4 linked regions of the Saccharomyces cerevisiae S288C genome follow. Changing the gene in region 3 together with the main gene of any one other region gives a genetic interaction. Each region holds a gene or a part of one and is shown on either strand. Other genes may lie near its edges. The genes, in order: YGR210C, UBR2, DPC29 and YNR066C.

What was found.
Region 1: mutations in DPC29 (region 3) and YGR210C together harm fitness more than expected from each alone (negative genetic interaction), as found in Saccharomyces cerevisiae (2 studies listed by BioGRID).
Region 2: mutations in DPC29 (region 3) and UBR2 together harm fitness more than expected from each alone (negative genetic interaction), as found in Saccharomyces cerevisiae (2 studies listed by BioGRID).
Region 4: mutations in DPC29 (region 3) and YNR066C together harm fitness more than expected from each alone (negative genetic interaction), as found in Saccharomyces cerevisiae (2 studies listed by BioGRID).

What each region holds. Positions count from the first base shown.
Region 1 is NC_001139.9:912,096-916,400, forward strand, and holds YGR210C (uncharacterized protein), read right to left. Parts: upstream 2,644-4,305; coding exon 1,408-2,643; downstream 1-1,407. Other genes in the region: SER2 (phosphoserine phosphatase), read left to right, coding at 1-717; thioredoxin TRX2, read right to left, coding at 818-1,132; zinc finger-containing protein ZPR1, read left to right, coding at 3,146-4,305.
Region 2 is NC_001144.5:186,375-195,035, forward strand, and holds UBR2 (putative ubiquitin-protein ligase UBR2), read right to left. Parts: upstream 6,908-8,661; coding exon 1,289-6,907; downstream 1-1,288. Other genes in the region: IZH3 (Izh3p), read right to left, coding at 1-755; ESCRT-III subunit protein SNF7, read left to right, coding at 8,078-8,661. UniProt on the Saccharomyces cerevisiae protein: E3 ubiquitin-protein ligase which probably functions outside the N-end rule pathway, since it lacks the residues essential for the degradation of N-end rule substrates. Mediates RPN4 ubiquitination and subsequent degradation.
Region 3 is NC_001139.9:525,478-529,625, reverse strand, and holds DPC29 (post-initiation translation factor DPC29), read right to left. Parts: upstream 1,995-4,148; coding exon 1,122-1,994; downstream 1-1,121. Other genes in the region: MTL1 (Mtl1p), read right to left, coding at 1-362; VMA7 (H(+)-transporting V1 sector ATPase subunit F), read left to right, coding at 2,297-2,653; UGA1 (4-aminobutyrate transaminase), read right to left, coding at 2,982-4,148.
Region 4 is NC_001146.8:752,552-757,083, forward strand, and holds YNR066C (uncharacterized protein), read right to left. Parts: upstream 2,485-4,532; coding exon 1,174-2,484; downstream 1-1,173. Other genes in the region: YNR065C (uncharacterized protein), read right to left, coding at 1-1,149; DSE4 (endo-1,3(4)-beta-glucanase), read right to left, coding at 3,195-4,532.

The sequences.
Region 1 (4,305 bases), 390 kb from region 3:
GACAGTCATAATGATGTTGATGTTATTGTTTCTGTCGACAATGAATATCGTCAAGCCAAAAAGCTCTTTGTCTTTGACATGGATTCAACATTAATCTACCAAGAGGTCATCGAATTGATTGCCGCTTATGCTGGTGTTGAAGAACAAGTGCACGAGATCACAGAAAGAGCCATGAACAATGAACTTGATTTCAAAGAGTCTTTAAGAGAACGCGTTAAATTATTGCAAGGCCTCCAAGTCGATACACTATATGATGAAATAAAACAAAAGCTAGAGGTCACCAAGGGTGTGCCAGAACTATGCAAGTTCCTTCACAAAAAAAATTGCAAGCTCGCTGTTTTAAGCGGTGGTTTTATTCAGTTTGCCGGTTTTATCAAGGATCAGTTAGGTTTAGATTTTTGTAAGGCAAACTTGTTGGAAGTTGACACTGATGGAAAATTAACCGGTAAAACACTGGGTCCTATCGTAGACGGACAGTGCAAGAGTGAAACCCTTCTGCAACTATGTAATGACTACAATGTTCCAGTTGAAGCAAGTTGTATGGTGGGTGACGGTGGTAACGACCTGCCAGCCATGGCTACCGCCGGGTTTGGGATCGCATGGAACGCCAAGCCAAAGGTGCAGAAAGCTGCACCTTGTAAGTTGAATACCAAGAGCATGACTGACATTTTATACATTCTTGGTTACACCGATGATGAAATATACAATAGACAATGAAGAAAATAATGATAGATAGATGTAATAGAGTTTCTTTTTAAAATTGTTTATTTAAACTGGTAAACATGATGTACTTTACGTAGCGTTAATATACCGGCAACTATACGTTGGAAGCAATAGCTTGCTTGATAGCAGCTGGGTTGGCACCGACGACTCTGGTAACCTCCTTACCGCCCTTGTAGAAGATTAGGGTAGGCATGGAAGAAACTTCAGCTTTTTGAGCAACATCTGAGACTTCATCAACATCCAACTTGTAAAAAGCAGCGTCAGAATATTGTTCTGCAAACTTTTCAATCATTGGTGCAATCATTTTACATGGCCCACACCATGTGGCAAAAAAGTCAACAACGACTAACTTGTCGCCAGATGCTAAAGCACTGTCGTATTCAGAAGCGGATTTTAATTGAGTGACCATTATTGATGTGTTATTTAAAGATATCGTAGACTCTCGTGTATGTGTGCGTGTATAATTCTTGCTAGACAACAAATAAAAACTGGTCCTCGTTATTCTCTTGTCAGCTTTTCATCCCCCGAATGGCTTTCTTATATACTGATATCCCTCTTTCGGCTGGCTGGAAACTGAACGCGCTTAGTAAGAAAAGAGCCACCTTGTAGGGAGCATCCTTTACTAAGAGTATAAACAATTACACATATACTTTGATGATTACTTAATATTCACTGGCACTCAAGTTATGCTGATCTTGGAGCGATCTTGAAGCCGAGTATGTCATTCTTACCGGGCTCAACAAGACTTTCTTCACTGACTCTCACGCCGCCAACGGTTTCAATGCTTGCAATGGTGACCTCGCCACCCATGATATACCTGGCAACTTTGCCAACAGGGGTTCCTCGCTTGACCAAAAAACAATCTCTAAATACGTTGGTTCCGTTGCCACCCGTAAAAGTCTGGATGTTCTTCACAGTGTACACCGGTATTAGACCAAGGATGTCCGTTGCTGCTTGCAGAACCTGAACAACACCCGTAGATCCGAATCTATACAGGACCAAATCTCTGATATTTTCAATTCTGTTAAGGATCTTGTCGTCCAGTGGCTTTAGTTTGTCTGGCTCGTCCTCAAATGTGTCAACAAATTCCGTGCCCTCCTCGTATAATATAAAACCTTGCTTTTTCAATTTCCTCAAAAAAACTTCCGTCACTGCACTGGTCAGTACAGCTTTGGTGTCAGGATACTTTAGCATGATTTTAGAAACATTTTTATCGGCGTCAGGGTGGTCAATCTTGTTGAGTGCCAACACAGTTGGAAATTTCTCCATCATAAAGGACTTGACCACTCGAGTGATCCATTCGTCATCCCATTTTTCCAAAGGTGGTAGTCCCTTCAACCTGTCCAGGGCTTTTTGGATCATGGGCGCATGTGAACCGTACCCACCGAATTGCGCTTGAAGTGTGTCCACTATGCTAGATTTCGTTGCTGTATGTTTACGCACAATAGACCCCCATCTTTTCTTCAGGTTCCCCTCAACCCAAAGCCTGATTTCGTCTTGCAGCCATTCTATATCGTTCAATGGATCATATCCTCTTGTGTTCTTCCCCTCTGCATCTGTGGTTCCACTAACGTCCACCACATGAATAAGAGCATCTGCGTGTCTTAAATCATCCAAGAATTTATTTCCAAGCCCTCTGCCGGAATGCGCTCCAGGCACAAGCCCTGCCACATCCAACAGTTTGATGGGGATATGCCTCTTACCCTTGCTACACCACCCGTAGTTAGGTTTACAAAGATCTTCCTTGCCAAATCTGGAGCAAGCACACTCAACTTGCAAGTAGCCGGTTGCCTGATTTGGCTCGATCGTGGTAAAGGGAAATGCTCCTACCGCCGCACCTGCGTCCGTCAAAGAATTTAATGTGGTGGATTTCCCTGAAGATGGCTTACCCACAATACCAATCAATGGATCCCTGGGCATACTGGCTCTATTTCCGTTTTATTCTTACAGACAGCTTATACTACAAGTTAGTTGGACAAAAGCTAAAAGACGGAAAACGAAAACGCAAAATGAAAATAAAACCAACTCTCATTACAATTCATCCTAGAACACTTACACATCTGTTTTGCACTGCATAGCATTACATTTCTTGCATATCTATCTATTCGAGAAAAAAAAAAAAAGGCATCGAGTGAATTTTTCACCTTGATAAAAAAGCCCTTACTAACCCTACAATAAATTGTGCCGAAACCCTCTGGAGTTTTCTAGAATATTCTAGCCCCATCAGGGCTAGAATATCCTAAAAGTTTATAGTTGACGAAAATTTTTCAGCGATGAGATGCACATTTATAATGCTATGATGTTCAACGCAAAGGAAATCATAGCGTTATCGGGTAGGTTCGCATCGTTAGCAATAGCTAGTCGCATATATACACAGAGATACATATTATACCTATACCGTTAAGAAATAGGATAGAAAATAATGAGCGAACAAAAGGAAGATTTGTTTAAACCAGTAGGAGAAGCTGCTGCAGAGGTCGAAGATGAAAGCATAGCCGAACAGAACAAAGCTAATGACGGCGTCAAGTTAACCGGCGCACAGGACGCCATGGGCCATCCAGTGCAAGAGATAGAGTCTCTTTGTATGAATTGTGGAAAGAACGGTACAACCAGACTTCTTCTGACTTCCATCCCTTATTTCAGAGAAATAATTATTATGTCATTCGACTGTCCTCACTGTGGGTTTAAGAACTGTGAGATCCAACCCGCTTCTCAAATTCAAGAGAAGGGCTCTCGTTACGTTTTGAAAGTGGAGTGCCGTGAAGATTTTAACAGGCAAGTTATTAAGTCAGAAACTGCCACTTGTAAGTTTGTCGAGCTAGACATTGAGATTCCTGCTAAGAGAGGTCAATTGACGACAGTTGAAGGTTTGTTATCCGAGATGATCGACGATCTGTCGCAAGACCAGGAAATGAGAAAATCTATAGACGAAGCTCTTTACAAGAAGATCGATGACTTCATACAGAAAGTTAAATCCTACATCAATTGTGAACCCAACACTATTCCGATTACATTTATTTTGGATGATCCTGCGGGAAATTCCTGGATCGAATACAAACCCGGTGAACCTCAACACAAATGGTCTCATACCCAGTACGTGAGAACCGACGAACAAAACGTTCAAGTTGGCATTATTACTAGAGACCAGTTGGAGCAACGTCGCCAAGAACAATTAAAACAATTGGCCAACCGTGAAAGAAATCCTTCTGAATCTGTCAAAGTTGGCTCAGCAAACCCACAGTTTTTGTCAGACGCCACCGACATCGAAAACTTTAACAACGAGGTGCAAACATTCAGAGCTTCTTGTCCATCGTGTACCCAAGAGTGTGAAACTCATATGAAGCCAGTAAATATCCCACACTTTAAAGAAGTCATTATCATGTCGACGGTCTGCGATCATTGTGGTTATAAGTCTAATGAGGTGAAGACCGGTGGTGCCATCCCTGACAAAGGAAGAAGGATTACTTTATACTGTGACGATGCAGCTGACTTGTCCCGTGATATTTTGAAATCTGAGACCTGTAGTATGGTAATTCCTGAATTACATCTTGATATTCAAGAAGGTACATTGGGTGGTAGATT
Region 2 (8,661 bases), on a different chromosome or scaffold from region 3:
TACCAGTTAAAGATAGACAACAAAGATTTGGAATGGGTATTGTAAAACCTATAGCCATGGATTATGTATCTGTTTTCCCTCCATGGGAATGGCAACTGATAATAATGTAAATGTTGAGTTTCACCTAGACTATACGCTTTGCCATGGTTGTATGAGTTTATAAAAGACTTGATATCGGTAGTAGGATTCAAAGGTTCTTCAATGAGGATTTCCGTCTTTACCATGGATTTTCTCATTGGACCGCAATAGTCTTTCACGCTGGAAATATAATTGTTTTCCTCTTTGATTTTTGTATCATTGAGACGACTTGTTGGGGAACGTAACGAGGACTTCGCTTGAGAACATACAGTTGAAGATGAAGACACCAGTGAAGTGGATGTAGAAGCATTGTTAAGCTTGAAAGTAGCGACTGAATTCACCAAAGTGGCTGCATCTGAATCTCCCAGTGAAAACTGAGATTCTGTATTCAGAGACTTGCCACTGTTTCTTTTGTACACAGAACTTGTTACTTCCTTTTCTTTTGTTGGACGAATTATCTCCAAATCATCATACCGCCCACTTTCAGAGTGTTTAACACTTTCATCAATAGTTGAAAATGGATGAGGAACGAATTTTGAGTAGTTGTAATTATAGATGGATTTACCGGATTTTTTCACCTTCTGAAAATTGTCCACACCCTTCTGCTTTAGCCTTGATAGAGATCCCATGGGTGAGGGTATATACTGAGTTAAGCTTTTGCTTGACGAGTCCATCATGTACTTAATTTGATTGTCTGTTGGGATGTGAACTATTTTTCAGCTTATCTGCGTTGCAGCTTCTTCTTTGTCCACTTTACAATGGCTAAACTTTACCAGACGACAAAACAAGTGTAGAATTTGAATCAACTGTGTCCTAAAGAAAAAATAATGTCCAAAAACTCTTATTATAAAACGAGTAAACCACCACTTCGCTCGAATCGCCAAGCTTTCTAGATGTACACCCACGCTGTGTCACCTTATGACTATATACCTTATCCATCAACACTTTCTCCATTTCCTGCAGGGTAAAAAGAAAAGTGAAGTCACCCTGCACTATACGAGCTTCAGCCCATACCCCACACTAAAACATTTCTTTTTCTGCGGCATTTCTTTTTTTTTCGGTCCGTCCCTGTCCCTTCCCACGAGAAAGCGTAATGATCCTCGACCCTACCCCACTTCCCCACGCCAATTAAAACAGATAAAATTTCTTTTGATTTTTCGGATACGCTAATTTCGTAGCAATTTTGAATGACTAGACATTTGTTGGATAACTACATAGTCTCCCACCCACCAAGATCTGCACTGCCGTCCGTTAGTCGGAACACTATGTGCGGAATCATGTTGCCAAAAACAATCTCATTCGCTAGATTCGCGTATCTCGCCCGATTCAAATAGACGGGAGTACCGAATTTGTAGTCTTCGTTGGTCTCTCCGTATTTACTTAGATAAGGTGCAGCATAAAATGTACCTCTTTTGCCGTATGACAGATATATCGCATTTGTGCCGGTCATTAAGAAAACTCCGTAAGCGGAGGTGATTTCGCATCCATTTCTCATATGATCAGTACATTCCCCCTGTAAATAACCTTGCAGTGCTATGCTTTTTTGAATATGGCATTTTTGGCCACACAACAAGCATACTGCGATTTCGTATTTATCACATTTATTCGATATTTCATCATTATCAAGGGAAAATTTGGAAAGGTTCAATGGTAGTTCGATAAGCTGGATATGCTCTGGTGAAGGATATGCTCTTGTGTTTATGTTCTGCACCATGTCATATATTACTTGCTGAATTCTCAAATTATCATTACCATCATTATACCTTTCTATATTTTGTGTTAGTTCGTTGTAGAAAAAATCCTTCAAAAAGTGAGTTAAATTGGGTAATTTAAAATACCGGAAAATAAGCTCTATTTCACGCTGTTTGACGTCCATGAAATTATTGCTGCGGTTATTATTATTATCACCATCACCATCATCATCATACTGAATGTTGAATAATAAGAAGGTTCTTCTACAAAAAATGGACAATGACTCTAGTAATAGAGAGCATATAAAGTCTTTAATTTTCTCTAAACTTGTAAAATCAAACCGAACGTCGTCTGGTTTAAAGAGATCAACATACTTTTTAAAAGTATTGAATAGATATGAAAAGCTTGTCGATGGTTCCTCAGATCCGTTTGATGATATTTTGATTTTATTTCGACAGTCTTTGTAAAAGTTTACTCTCATCATATCTCTTGCAAGCAACAGTAGTAGTTGATGGAACCTTCTTTTGAACATTTCATAGATACATAGGTTAGGCGGTTGCGGGGTTTTTCCTCCATCAATATTATCAAAATTTTGACTCATATACAAAAGTAGATTCACATTATTACCCTTTATTAGAAACTCATTCCAATTCCATATTTTACGAGAGATTTCGCTGCTGAATGTTTTTGAATTAACAAATTTTTTGTAAATAAACGACTTTAGCTCACAAACTAAATGTAAGGTTAAAATGCACTGACTGGATATTCTTTCCATATTCACTATTTTTCCTTCCTTTTTGTGCGATCTTAATCTGAGCTCAGTATTTGAAATAGTATTAATAAAAACACTATTAACAACTTTATATGCATCTTCGATAGTCGTGACTTTTTTACCCTGAAGATCACCTAGAATCATCGCTGCTTTAATACAAATAGAGCTCATTGGGTCAAGGTTTTCTTCCGCTTCACTTCGCTTTTCAATACACATAAAAAACTGGCTCGAAGTTCTCTTATCTATATCATTTGTTTTTGGTAGAAATGAATTACTTAAGGAATTGCATACGGGACAATATATCAACCCTGAACCATACGATAATGGAATATTTTTTGTAGTTTGGTTTTGTATTCCGCGAATCGACTTCATATGGCCACTTAAACATTTGGTATGAGACCCATGCCCGCATGCTCTTAATACTGGTTCACAGCTAGTAAATTTCAATCTCGTTCCATCATCATCCTGGGGGTTTTCTTGGATTGCACTGTCTTTTGTTTGCTTACCACTGAACAGCGAATTTATTCTATTAACATCTGTAGGATTCGTAAAATCAATTCCATGATCACATATGTTCCGTTCTTGGTATGAAAAATAAACAAATACATCGTCATCCTTCGGCATCTTGCAAAATACGCAATCATCATCGCAGCAACTGTTGATTGTGTTACTACTATTCTCTGCATTTATTCTAGTGGGAGATAAACTAGGTGATGTGGTTCTGGGTGTACTAATATCGGAAGTATCTACACTATTGTTTTCCATGAATTTCATTTGCTGTTGAGCCAACTTCTTCATTAATTTTTTCTTTCTCAATCGAGCAAGATGTTTTTTCCTTTCAAATTCTTTATCCTTGTGGCTTTTATCTTCCTTTGTAGGCCACAATATTCCTGGTGTATATGACGTGGTTTGCTCCCTCAAATAACTGTTTACATTTACGTGAGGCGCTGTTTCCATTAAATACCTGAAAATTTCCCTAATCTTACCATGAGATTCCGAAAAATTATCCTTCAACAAACAGTAATACAGGATAGAACCAATGCTGTGGTAATGACAGAATTCTGTGTCCACAATTGCGTATTCATGCCACAGTATCCCCATAAATTCATTCAGATTATTAACCACGCATAAATGAATCAAATGAACCACTCTCGGCAATAAATTGTCATAATCATATTTTATAATGTGATCTAAAGTATTTTTCAAAAATAAACCAAAAGTATTCACTGATGATATTGAATACAGCCCAGAAAATAATGTATTCTTCAACAAATCTTTAACCTTTTTTGCTGGTACAAAAGTATCTTCATATTTCATTTTCTTCAAATTTGCCATATTCAGCCTGATATTTTTCTCTACATCATACCTCCTACTGGAAGACAACCCTATATAATAAGGATCAATCTCATCTTTATACTTTTCTTTCAACACGAAAATGCCATTGTCAGTCAAGCTTACAGGAGAAGTGTAATTGGCGTATTTTTCGAGATATATATCAAATGAAGGGTGCTTGGTGATATGTTCTGGAATACAGTTAACAATTTGTGCGTAAGAGCATGTATCAAAGCAAAGGGCATGAATTATTTCTGATTTGAACGTTCTCTCGAAGCCTTCCTTTGATGATTTCATGACCAATGATCTCACTTCAGTAAGCAATTGAATCAATAACAGAATGCATTCATTAACAACGGCTACAGTTGTTTCTGTATCAGGATAATCATACATAGGTACACCATTTGCCCAGTGCTTCAAACCCCACCTTGAGAGGTAAGTAACCATCAGTTCATCAGGATTGCACATTGCCATACTAAATTGCACATTGAAAATGTCACTAATATAAGTAAATTCTCGCATACTGTATTTTGTATACATCCGGGCCTGGTGAGTAATTGGAGTTCCGTTTCTTACCCAGAAACCGACGTTTATTTGCCCGATTAGGACTAGGGTTGACAAAGCAGATTCTGATATATATAAAGCCTTCTGCTTATCTTGAAAAACTTCGAAGAGATTAATGTAGTTTGTCAAAGAAGCAGGAATTGGCTCATATCTACCACATTGACTCCATTGAATAACAAATTTGAACAAATATGACATTGGATTGAAAAAATACTGTGTATTTACACCTACCTGGAAATTAATAGTCTCTGCGACATAATTGCATATCGTCTCTCTGACTGTAGACAAAGTCGCTTTGTTCGAATCATTTTCATTCGTTGATGCGTTATCAGGTGATATAGCTTTTCTAGAATTGGTTAGTGATTCAAATTCCCTGGTTTGAGCAACATCAAGTAGTTTAAGGACGATTTGCTTACGGAAAGCCGCATCTTTGACCAAAGATATACTACGTGTGTATCCATCTGTCATTATTAGTATTGATGAGAAAAAAAAATAAAATGCAGAAAAATCAAAGTTTTCAACCTCCACGTGTTCTTTAGTTTCCCTTTTCAATGGCAGCACGTTACTGAATTCAGAGAAGGACTCAATTATTGCGTTAAAAATTGCCTCATTTGAAAGTAGTTCTTCCGGAACAGTGTTCGCTGACATTATCGTACAAAGGTCTTTAAAGCAAATAATTGTCCTTCGATTTCGTATTGTTTCGGTGGGCAACTTAAAGCCATTGTATAAAGAGATGGGCAAATATGACATCAAGTCTTCTGGATTGAATGCCATGAGAGTAAAAGCAAATCTAATAGTTCGTTCAATGAATCCCGAGCTTATAGTCATATTTGCTATGCTGGGGTCTTGGAAAGTGTATTGCCCTAATATACTCATAAGAGTTACCTGACATTCTTTAGCATCTGATGCAACTGCATCATACAAGACCGATAGATAAACATCAATATATTGTGCGGCAAGAAACTTTCTGCTTTCATCCCTTAACGAGAATAATGACGCCATGATCTTTAACATTTTGAATTTAGATTTTTTTGAGAGGATATTAATAGAATTGATGATAATATATTGGAATCTAGATCCATAGAAATTGTAGAAATGGCTTACTGTGTTCGGCGAATGGGCTCTGATCAACCTTTCATTGTAATTAGTGAGTATTTTTGAAATTCTTTCGTCTTCAATGTTCTCTAATGACCAAGGTTTAAACCATGATTCATCACTATCTTCGTTAGATATTAAGAATCCACCTAATAAGTTAATCTTAGAAAAGTCAGGATTGGTATTTGTGGGAGATACTCTCATTTTAGAAAAATGGGAATACCAAACATCTAGCATGGAAATTCTAAGAGCATATTTATTTTGCAAAGACGTGGCCGCCTTAAAGCACAGAGAATATAACCAATCTGTTAAATCATCTGTTAACTTTCTCTTGAATATATCATCCGCTTTTCTTACATGAACTACTATGTTTTCCTTTTGAAACTCCTTGGCTATTTGATCTATTTCGAAAAAATTCTCACTTTGTAGCACAGTCACTACATCGTGTGAATCTTCTAAAGCCTTCGTTATTGAGATTGCATATTCAACCGGTGTATTCAAAATTCTTGTTATTGTAGATGCTAAATCCATGTAGTGTACGTTACACTCTTCTTCTTCGATTTGAATAGCCCACTCCATATGTGCTTCTTTTCTCGTATTGGACCAATTGTTATCAAAGAAAACAAAATTTTCATCATTGACCAATGGTTCACATTCGTGTTTTTCCATTATATCATCAGTAATGCTGTTTTGATTAGGATGCATTAGGGAGGATGCTTTTCTCTCGCTTGAATGGGCTTCTGCCTCCTCTTTGTATGAAACAGTTACATCAATTAAAAAATCCAGAACATAATTCAATAGGGAGATTACGTTTTCATCATCGGTTACGTTACTATTGTCGTTAGAAATAGGAATATTATTTAATTCGTTCTTGCACTTGAACGCGTCGCTTGGGTCATTAAAGGCAAAGGGGTCACCACAATGGCATATTCTGCCTTCTGGGCGCATTACCACTTTAGCAACATAAGAATGATTTACATGTTTTTCTTTATCGAAACAAAGCTCACATATTTCATACAATGGATTTGTGGAGCACGTAAAACAGTAATAAATTGTCTCAGAGGGGAAGCATAAACGCGTACACGCTGTTCCAATATGCATATTACCCACAGAGTGGTGGTCATTCTCGAACTCCAGGGTCCTCCACTTTCTTCCATTTAGTATGTCTCTGTACTTTTCGTTTTCCCAGGCTTCAGAATTGAGTATTGAAACGAGAGAGCGCCAGTTTATATCGTTATCACTATGCTTAAGGCGTAGATTTAAGGTTTTCCATAGTAAATAACTAGTGGTTTCGCTATATTCGCATTTCGCGAGTTTGGGGAGCTCGGTAAGAAAATCTCTTATATTGGTTATAGACAGGTCAGAATCTTCCATGCGTGCTTGTTAAGTAGCTATTAATTTAGTTAACGAATCTTACCTTTACTATCAGAGACGAGTAAATGATAATAATTAGAAAAAAAAGCCGGCTCTTTTTTTTAAAAAGCTTGAGCAACTTTTTTTTTTTATAGAGTTGTTAGTAATATGCCAAGCAATTGAAAGTATGAATGCGTTGATTATTGGGTTTCTCCCCACAGCTGTACATTGACGATGCTCTTTATTGATATCGCCTAAAAGTTCAACAAACGCCACTGGAAATTGCCGCCGTTGTCACCACAACGTGATAAGTGATGGTGTGCTTTTTGCACATCTAGTGAAGAAACGGGCAATTAGGATCTAGGACCAGTAACACTTGCCCCGCAAATATTATAACATGGGCCTTATGATTGCTCGGTTTGTTACATCTAACATCCTAAGAAGTGAGTGGCATGAATACGTAGCTATATGTAGATTGAAAATTGATGAGTCGAGTCATCACCTTCCTCTAAACGGGGGATAAATTTTGGCGGTATTTTCCCTAATTTTATTCTTCGTTATGTCAGCCATGTGAGACTAATTAATTCAAGTTTTGACTTACAATTGCGGCTTCGTCGGAAATCAGTATTACGTATAAACTGTGTACCATAAAATTGGCGTACTCGGTATTGTTTATACTAAGCCGGCCATTCTAGTGATTTCGCCTCTATAAATGGTTGTTATTCGAGTATAATATTTCAACCGCATCAAAGAAAGAGGTAGATAGCTTGCGTTCAACACCGTTCTTTTCTTTCCCCCTTAATTTAGCGCTTGGCGGTTATGCTATGGTGACAGTTAACTTTTTTAATTATAGGATGACTTGTCATATTGTTATATGCCGCATACTTATGTAAAGTAGTTATTGAGGTGGGGGTGAGCAGAGTAACGACAACGATGGAGTTCCGTAACTAACCAATGCTTAATGTTGGTAAGTAATAGCAAATATATATACTACATAGCTTTTGTTATATGCATCATTTTATACGATTCATGTTCGACCCTTTTGATAAAAGATGGGATTTTTAAATAAGTCGGTGGGTGATTTCGAATCATGAATAGTTGGCAGAGCAGGGGAAGTACGAGCTTCTAAAGGGTAAGATATTGTATTTCGGACGGAAGCAGCAGAAACATAACAGTATTGATAAATAAGGCATGTGGTCATCACTTTTTGGTTGGACATCAAGTAATGCCAAGAATAAAGAGTCACCAACAAAGGCCATAGTGCGGTTGAGGGAGCATATCAACCTTCTATCCAAAAAGCAATCGCATTTACGTACTCAAATTACAAATCAAGAGAATGAAGCTAGAATCTTTTTGACGAAGGGCAATAAAGTAATGGCGAAGAATGCACTTAAAAAGAAGAAGACAATCGAACAACTTTTAAGTAAGGTAGAAGGCACAATGGAGTCTATGGAACAGCAGCTATTCTCTATAGAAAGTGCAAACTTAAATCTAGAGACAATGAGGGCTATGCAGGAAGGTGCTAAGGCAATGAAAACTATTCACAGTGGCCTTGACATAGATAAAGTGGATGAAACTATGGACGAGATAAGGGAGCAAGTCGAATTAGGAGATGAAATAAGCGACGCTATATCCAGGCCTTTAATTACTGGGGCAAACGAGGTGGATGAAGATGAGCTGGACGAGGAATTGGACATGCTGGCTCAAGAAAATGCTAACCAAGAAACGTCCAAGATCGTTAATAATAATGTTAATGCGGCGCCTATCTCAGAGAA
Region 3 (4,148 bases):
TCCGAAGAAGACGACGATGTTGAAGACGACGAAACTTGCATGGACGAAGAGGAAAGTTCTGAGGATAATGTTGACGAAAGAGTAAGCAGTGAAGAACTTTGTGGGAAGGAAGTAAAGGATACTGAAGCTATACTCGGCGTTGATAAACTTGCGCTGCTCGTTGCATCGGTACTGGACGTAAATGACTCAACTGCGGAAAGCGAAGTGATGGAAGGAGCTGTGCTCGATGTTGTGCTATTAGCTGGAACCAACTCCTGCGAAAGAACACTTAGCGGTAGTGTTGTTAACGCCATGAGAATCGTTCTCCACATAGATAGGCTTGAAGCAGAGCTCTTCTTCCTGGTCGGATTGCAGCTTGCCATACCTTAACTACTTATATTATACTAACTGGGAGTAAGTTAAAAGTGGAAACGAAGATCGAACCAACCCGAAATGAACTAGAAGTGTTTAAACAAATTTCGGAAGCAATGGAGGATTATATCCCAATTATCTCCTCGGAATATATCCTTATTATGCCTTGGTCTTCCAATATGGACCGAAGAGTACTTACAGTAAATAGCAGTATCCTTCGTTTTTCATCTACACTTTTCTACCTAAAATTGATCTTCCCGAAGAAGAAAAACTAAAAACTTCGATTTGATGACTGTCAAGACCCCAAGAAAGAGGGAAAAAAAAAAATGATATCTCATGCAACAACAAGTAATTAAGTGCTCCTTGTTCATGGAAGACACAACAGGCACCACTAATAACCTGAATGAGGCACCTTCGACTTTCGAGATGAGCCCTTAGTTCATCCTGGTGTTGTGTTTGAGAGGGGGAGAGCACATCATTGTACTTCCAGATCCCCCTAGCCATGATCTAATATTACCGCTGAGTAAAAATAGATCTCGGCTGCGTCTCCGTCTCCGCCCGCCTTCCGTCGGTTACTTCGTCGGTTCTTGCTCGACCCCCGCCAGTCCGCAGACAACAGTCCGCAGCAGGCAAGTGCTGGTGTCCGCTTGGTGTTTTTACGTACGATTGTCTTTGTTGTTGTTTTTACTCTTTATTACAGTTATTACTACTGTTTGTTTAGTATATACAGGTATTTGTGGTATTGATTATTTATTTACGGTTTGGTTGGATTAAGCGTTGCTAGCGTTAGTGTACAACGACGTCACTTCGTCGATGTCCTCGAGCGCTGTGGTCAGTTTCTGTAGTTTCTCGAGCGTTTCATCGCCTTGCACGAAAACTTCCATATCCGGCTTGGCATTGTAGCCGATGCCCAAGTCTCTGATGTGGAAACCACGCTCCTTCAGTAGGGCGGCCACCTTATTGGTATCGGCAGGTTCCATCACCGCCTCGTAAGTTTGGCCTGTAGTTTCAGTTTCGGTATCACACTCTAAATCTTCTGCGTCTTCCTGCACAGGCGCAATGTCTTCGATGCCTTGAATCTCCAGTACGCTTTCTAGCACCTTGTCCTCAGTGTCTAACATCTTCGGAGGTACCATTGTAACGTATCCTTTTTTGTCGAAGAAAAACAACGTTGGAGTCATCGATCCATTAGCTTTATTAAATGCACTCCTTATCAGACCTATGGTCCTGTTCTTGTTGTCTGTCAGCGCTTCCACCACTATAGCGACCCCGCCGGGCCCCATTCCCTCGTATACACATAGCTCAGAAGCGTTTGAGTCCTTGCCCGATGCGCTGCTTCCAGAAGCTTTCCGGATGGCGTTCTCAATAACTTTTTTGCTGACATTGTTTTTATTTGCTAGCTCGATGCTGGTGGCTAATCTTATATTCATGCTCGGATCCGTAATACCGTTGCCTAACTTGACTGACATTGCTATCTGGTTTGCAAACTTGTTATTAATTTTGTTTCGTTCCGCATCATTCTTGGCTTTACCGTGCTTGATGGTTGACCATTTGTTGTGACCTGAACGTACCGAGGAATTCAGCACACTAAACGATCGAGAGTTTTTGAGCAGTTCACCCAGATACCTATTTCTTACCAACATTTTCCAATTTTTGATGCGTTCATACCAAGTTTGCTGTTTTTCTTAGTTATTATCATCATCTTTCCCCTTATTGCTGCTGAAACTTGCGTACGTGCGTACTAAAAAAATTTCACTGCGCTTACGCCGGTAAAGGGAAGTAGGAAAACGAAAGAAAAAAAAAAAATAAAGGCGAACGATAACAGGAAAACCAACGTGAATTGCAAGCACTACATTTATTATATCGAGTTGACAAAGAATTAAGAAAATAGAGCACTACATTTCTATATTCATAGCTAGTCTCACTGACGCATAGTAACTAAATCATGGCTGAGAAACGTACTCTTATAGCTGTGATAGCTGACGAAGATACTACAACTGGTTTATTGTTAGCCGGGATTGGACAAATCACTCCTGAAACCCAAGAAAAGAACTTTTTTGTTTACCAAGAAGGTAAGACTACTAAGGAGGAAATCACTGACAAGTTTAATCACTTTACTGAAGAGAGAGACGATATTGCCATCCTTCTAATCAACCAACATATCGCGGAAAACATAAGAGCTAGAGTGGACTCCTTCACCAATGCGTTCCCTGCTATTTTAGAAATTCCATCTAAAGATCATCCCTACGACCCTGAAAAGGACTCTGTATTGAAGAGAGTCAGAAAGTTGTTCGGTGAGTAAGCGAACGATCTTTCCCAAAACAAACACAATTACTGGTAGATTACTAGTAGCAGGCGGAGGTGGAGGGCGGGAGCCACTGTTATTGCGTTTGTATAATATATACACTCATAAATGATATATTTAAGGTTCAGATAAAAACAACTTTTTTTTTTTTAGCACGTCTTTACTGCAGTCACCAAACCCATTTTTTTTTTCCTATTGTGAATACCCGCCCATATTTTTCACACACAACTGATGAGTAATATAAAACTTTTCTTTAAAATTATAACAAGATACACATATATAAAGACCAAAAAAGGGAACGTGACACGGCCTCGCTAATATACAATCATAATTCATTAACTGATTTGGCTAATGCTTCAATAAAGATATCAGCATGCTTCTCCTCGAATGTTAATGAAGGTCTTAATCTCACTGCATGGACTGCACATCCACCAACGTTGCAACCATTCAACTTCAATTTCTTCAATAGTAAGTCTCTCTTCTCACCAGTAGGCAAATCCCAGGCAATGAATGTGCCTCTTCCTTTACCTCTCAAGTTTTGAAAGTTTTCAGGGTATTTCTTCTGCAAACCCTCCAATTTCTTGAACAAATAATCACCTACTCTTGAACATTGTTCAGTCAACTTCTTGTCGGAGATTTCCTGTCCAATGGCACCTGCAATGATCATTCTTGCAGGTTCACCACACCATGTGTTGAATTGTCTGTATGGTTTGTTTGGAATGAATTTAGGGTCGTGGAAGAAATATCCTGCACTTTGGAATTTCTTGGAAAAGGTCACTAAATCCACAGGTGGTTGAATATCGGCGTACTCATGACACCATAGCTTACCGGTGGCTCCGACACCTGTTTGCACTTCATCTATGATGTAGACAACGTTATACTTCAAGGTAATGTCTCTTAGCTTTTGTAAGAAATACTTAGAAGCGTGGTTATCACCTCCCTCAGATTGAATTGGTTCGATGATTAAGGCAGCAACTGGAATAGACCAGGTTTTGATTAATTCTTCAACAATGGCCAAGCAATGGTCATCCTCTTTACGGTTTGCATCAGAATTTTCATCTAATGGGTATTGGTAAGATGGATACTCAGCATGAGGCCAGTGGAAGGCTGGGAAATCCAACTTGTGAATTGGTTTAGAACAAGTTGTGGAACCGGAGGCAAACAATCTACCGTGGAACGCTCTCTTGAACGATAGTACGGCAAGATGAGGGGCGCCAGGGGCGTCATTGTCCATGACAGACAAGTTTTCCTTTTCAGAAAAATCGGCATCATAGCCCCTTTGTTTGGCACGGTAATAAATAAAGGCAGCCTTGAACGCTAATTCATTGGCATCTGCACCGGAAAGCCCTGACCAGACGTGATCTTGACCCTTTGGCGCAGATTTCAATATTTGCTTCAATATCTTGTCTAAATCCTTAGATGGGAAGTTACCTAAGGCAGGACGGTCGACCAAAGCACGGATCATTTCTGGTGATTGTGCTGCCTTGATCAA
Region 4 (4,532 bases), on a different chromosome or scaffold from region 3:
AAAAGTATCCTGTGCTTTAGCACTAAAATCTAGTGGCATACCTAATTGCCTGGCTTCAGGTAATTTAGCTATCATAAAAGAGTGTCCTCTATCGTGTGTTGAGAATATGTTACCTTTAGAGCCAAACAAATATGCTGAAGAATTGAAATATGGGTTAAACACAACTTCAACAATTTTTTCGCCGTTAGTGTCAAACCTTTTTATTGTTTGTCCACCATCGTGGGATATATAGGCGTCTCCTATCGAATTCAGCATGACCAAAGATTCGTCGGCAACTGTATCGAAGTATTGGTAAAATTTAATTTCGAAGTCAAATTTGTTTTCAGTGGTCACTATTTCCCTGTCACTCGAACCCTCCTCTGGAATTTCGTCACACGGAATATCAACGGGTTCAATTTTCATGGGTGTTTTACATTCATCACCTTTGATTAATTGTAATGGCTCTACTAACACAGATTTATCCTTCGATTTGTCACATATGTTGGAAAAGGCAATCAGATTATAATCTGGTATACACAGGCCGTTTGCGTCCCTAACAAATTCAAACGAACATTCGTAGTCGGATTCACCACAACTATTACAAGGCGTTTCATCTAAACTCAAATCTTTGAATGCTTTTTTTACCAAACACTGGGCGTCTTGTTTCCTCCTTCTATACTTGTATTTGGCGCCATTAACACATTTCCCATCCGCCAAATCCCAATCTTCAAAATCTTCCTCCTCACACGTTCTAGAGTCGAATGCTGCTGAAAAATCAATTATATACTCGACACCTTTTAAAGAAGTTATACTGTTGGTTTCGGAATCGGTAGTGGCAAACGTTCCTTTAAAAATAAATTTTGAGCCAGATCCATCTGGTGTTGGATTTATCAATTTGTAGGGATGGACAGAACTTATGGCATTGGTCAGCTCATATTCATTCCATGTTCTACCTTGGTCCAAAGAATAATAAAATTCAGATTGAAAATCGCCATCTTCCTCTGGATCATATGGGATATACACAATAATATTTCCCAGGTCACCAGTAGCATATAACCCAGAAGAATTATGAACAAATCTCCACGTTAAACCGCCATCTCTAGAGATGAAAGTTTTTTGGTCTTCCCAATCGAATTCACTACCGTCGCCAACGGAACCTGTCATTAACATAATTCCGGCAGTAGGATTTGAGATTTAGATACTATAAAAAGGGTTCTGGAGCGAACATCTTTCAGGCCTAGTGATATCACAAGGGAATGAATCTGCATTTTCCTCGTCAACCACTTTCAAATTTGACCATGTGAGGCCGTTATCAACAGATATTTTAGTTTCATATCTGGCTATCTTTTTATTATATTTTCCTTTGTTATGAGAGTAGTCAAAGGAAGGATGAAACGAGCCAATTATTGTTCCTTCTAAGAAATGAGGAGAAGCAATATCAATATAACCAAAGTGAGGATTTATTGTCCATTCAACAGGTAAAAATTTCAACCCTTGAGAATCTGATATTAAAATTTCTGAGGGAGCTGGTTGGTCGTTTTTTTCATCTGTGAATATCGTAGATATAGGAATGATTATTCTTCCAATAGAATCTTCATAAATTCCATACATATGGACGTGCCGTACTTGAGCAGGTAGACGTGCCTTTTGAAAAGTAGACGCATCATTGGATATCCAGATGTCCATGGGTGACATTTCATTGTATCTATCATCTTGTGTCGAAACGATTATATGTGATTTTAATATCTTGTATTGATAAATAATTTTATCATTAAACTCATCAAATTTTTTGAAAGTTTTACCTCCATCAGTACTTAAGGCTAATTGTGTATATGCGGCACTTAAGTGACGATCGCTATCGTAACCATGGTTCGAGAACAAACATAGTATCGAAGCGTCGTTACCCTCAATATCAGAATCCTTGCTAGATTTGACAAAGTTGCAGCTTGAACTTGTTATATGGTCATCTTCTTTCTTTTTCAAGGAAGGTTCGATATTGTAAAAGGATTCCCCATCGTTGGTAAAGTAAGTTTCATTTTGTATTTGGATATAACCATTGTCGTTTATAAAGCAAGGGCAATCTGCAATAAGGTACTTTTTATCTGTCGGATGGGTAGCTATAGAGCAAGAAGTACCCAAACGACAGTTTTCAGAGACGGGTATAGTCAGAGCCCTCCATGATTTTCCACGATCATCGGTGACGTAAAATTTGGGTGATAAATGTATCGAAACAAAAGCCCTGTCCTGTCCATGCAAAGGATCAACAATTAATTCGAGAATATGCCCTTCAATTTCTTTGACCGCTTCCCAATTTTCTCCAGAATCGGAACTTATCCACACGACTTGATTATCTAATCTGATTAAACTGTTGGAATCGTCAAAGCTCTCTAGACTAAATGAATATTCTGAAAGAGTCTCCGTTACTTTGGGGACGAATTCCTCTGCATTGAGTAACGGAATAAAGAGACATGTCCAAATCGTGCATATGACTTGGAGTAATATCATAATTGAGGATCTCTTACCTTTTCTTAGTTCAAAGCTTTTTTTCAAAGCTCGGAACTTTATGCTACGATTCAATGACTAAAAAAAAGGTAGCGGATAATCTTTTGGTTGCAAATTGGCGGCATTTAAATATATTTTGGGTTGCAAATATTCTAAAAATATTCTCATAATATTCTAAAAATATCTAGCCTAGGTAATTGCAATTATTTTGAGTCTGGTTATTTTGAGTTGACCATGTTCACTTCCTTTTCAGTCATCAAGACAACGTGTTTACCATCTAATGGGGAATCAAACAGATAAAACTAGAAACTGAGCAAAAATACTTTGATTTGCTAATGTCGCCAGTAGTACGATAATACTATAAAGATATGCTGTTGAAGCTGATATTTAAAGAATGAGAATCTCTAAGGGATCATAGTCTAGAATGGTATTCTGCAAAACAAATTTTAAATGGTGAAAACTTTTCCTCACTATGTCCAATTGATGCTTCTTAGGATGACGTTAGAATTTTATTTTAGTGCAGGCATTACCTTGCTAAGTTCATTCATTAAAGTACTAATATACCTCTTACTGGCATGCATTTACCTAAGTGGTCTCCGTTAGCCGTGGTCTTTTCGAACGCAACAACTTTCAAGTTAAGTAAAAATGATTTATTCTATAAAATATGTATGTAGTGGGAAAGACTCGACAGACCTGCTTGCCAAGTTCTCTTTCTAAGCAATTGAGTTGGCCAGTCCCCCTGAAAATGCTAATGCCCATGTGCGACTCATTCCGTTATCCAAATATGTGGATGAATCAAAAGTTGAATCACTGAAAAATGCATACGAATCTACTGGGTCGAAGAGTGCTTGATTCAGCTTCAATATGCCTGTCCAGCCGCTTTCTATCGATTCAATAATTGGCTCGATTTTAGTCTGCCATTCTTCTTCGACGAAAGTCTCAGAACGAATATTAGAAGAAACTGGTGTGATAGGTAGCATATGAATACCGTGGATATATTCTGTGTTTGTTCCAAAATAAGTAGTATAATCGATAATATTATCGAATAAAATACCACTCACTTTATTTCCTATGATTTCTTCAGGCTCAACTGTGTTGTCATTTTGATAATAGAAATAGTCGTTCATTGCATCCTTCATTATACTAATCATCAAGTCACCCCTCAATTCCATTGACTGGTCACCGATAGTGGCCCCCCATAACTTCATAGCATAGGCAAAATTGTAATCTTCACTACTACTTTCTTCGTTCTTACCGTTACCGTTTTCATAAAGTCCAGCTGCCCATGAATGACCGTTGAACCAATCAAACATTCTCGATTGTGCAAAGTATTCATCTTTTTCAGATGGATTTGCGACATCTCTTACCAATGAATTGACCCAATCTTTATTGTCGGCAGCCCAAGTACCATTCAGTTTAGAGTCAACATAGCCGATGACAGCAGCTGCATGAATAATGTAACCATAATGGAAATGATGGTCATTGTAATAAGTGTTACCAAAATCGTATTGCGTGCTGGTGGAACCCCAATCTCCTGAACTGACCAAACCGTTGAACTTTGTGTCGTAAATTAGTGGATACGTCTGTTCATTTTGTAGCAGAATATCAAAGGCCGATTTGATGTTTTCCAAAGTACTCTTAGTACTGGCTTCATCTTGGATGATTTCGGAGACCGTTAATAGAATGTAAGAATACTTATCGATAACTTTACCCAAATAATATGTGTTTAACCCGCTTATACTTTCGGAAATACTAACCTGTAATTCGGAATTGGCAACTTCAGCTAATAATTGCAATTGTTCTTTAGAATACTCTAAAAGGTTTGAGCCAAGTTGAGAAGACCATGGTAACCAAGATATTTGTCTGTTTAGAGATGTGGAAAATTGTAGGCTCGTTGTTAGATAACCGTTCATTACACCCTTAGTTGTAGAAGCGAGTTGAATGCCGGTATAGTAGTCTTGCATTATATCACTAAATGAAGATTCATGATGGGGCAAGGCAAAAATCATTGTGCTACCTGATGCCGACTCACCTTGGGTGGTATAAGAAAA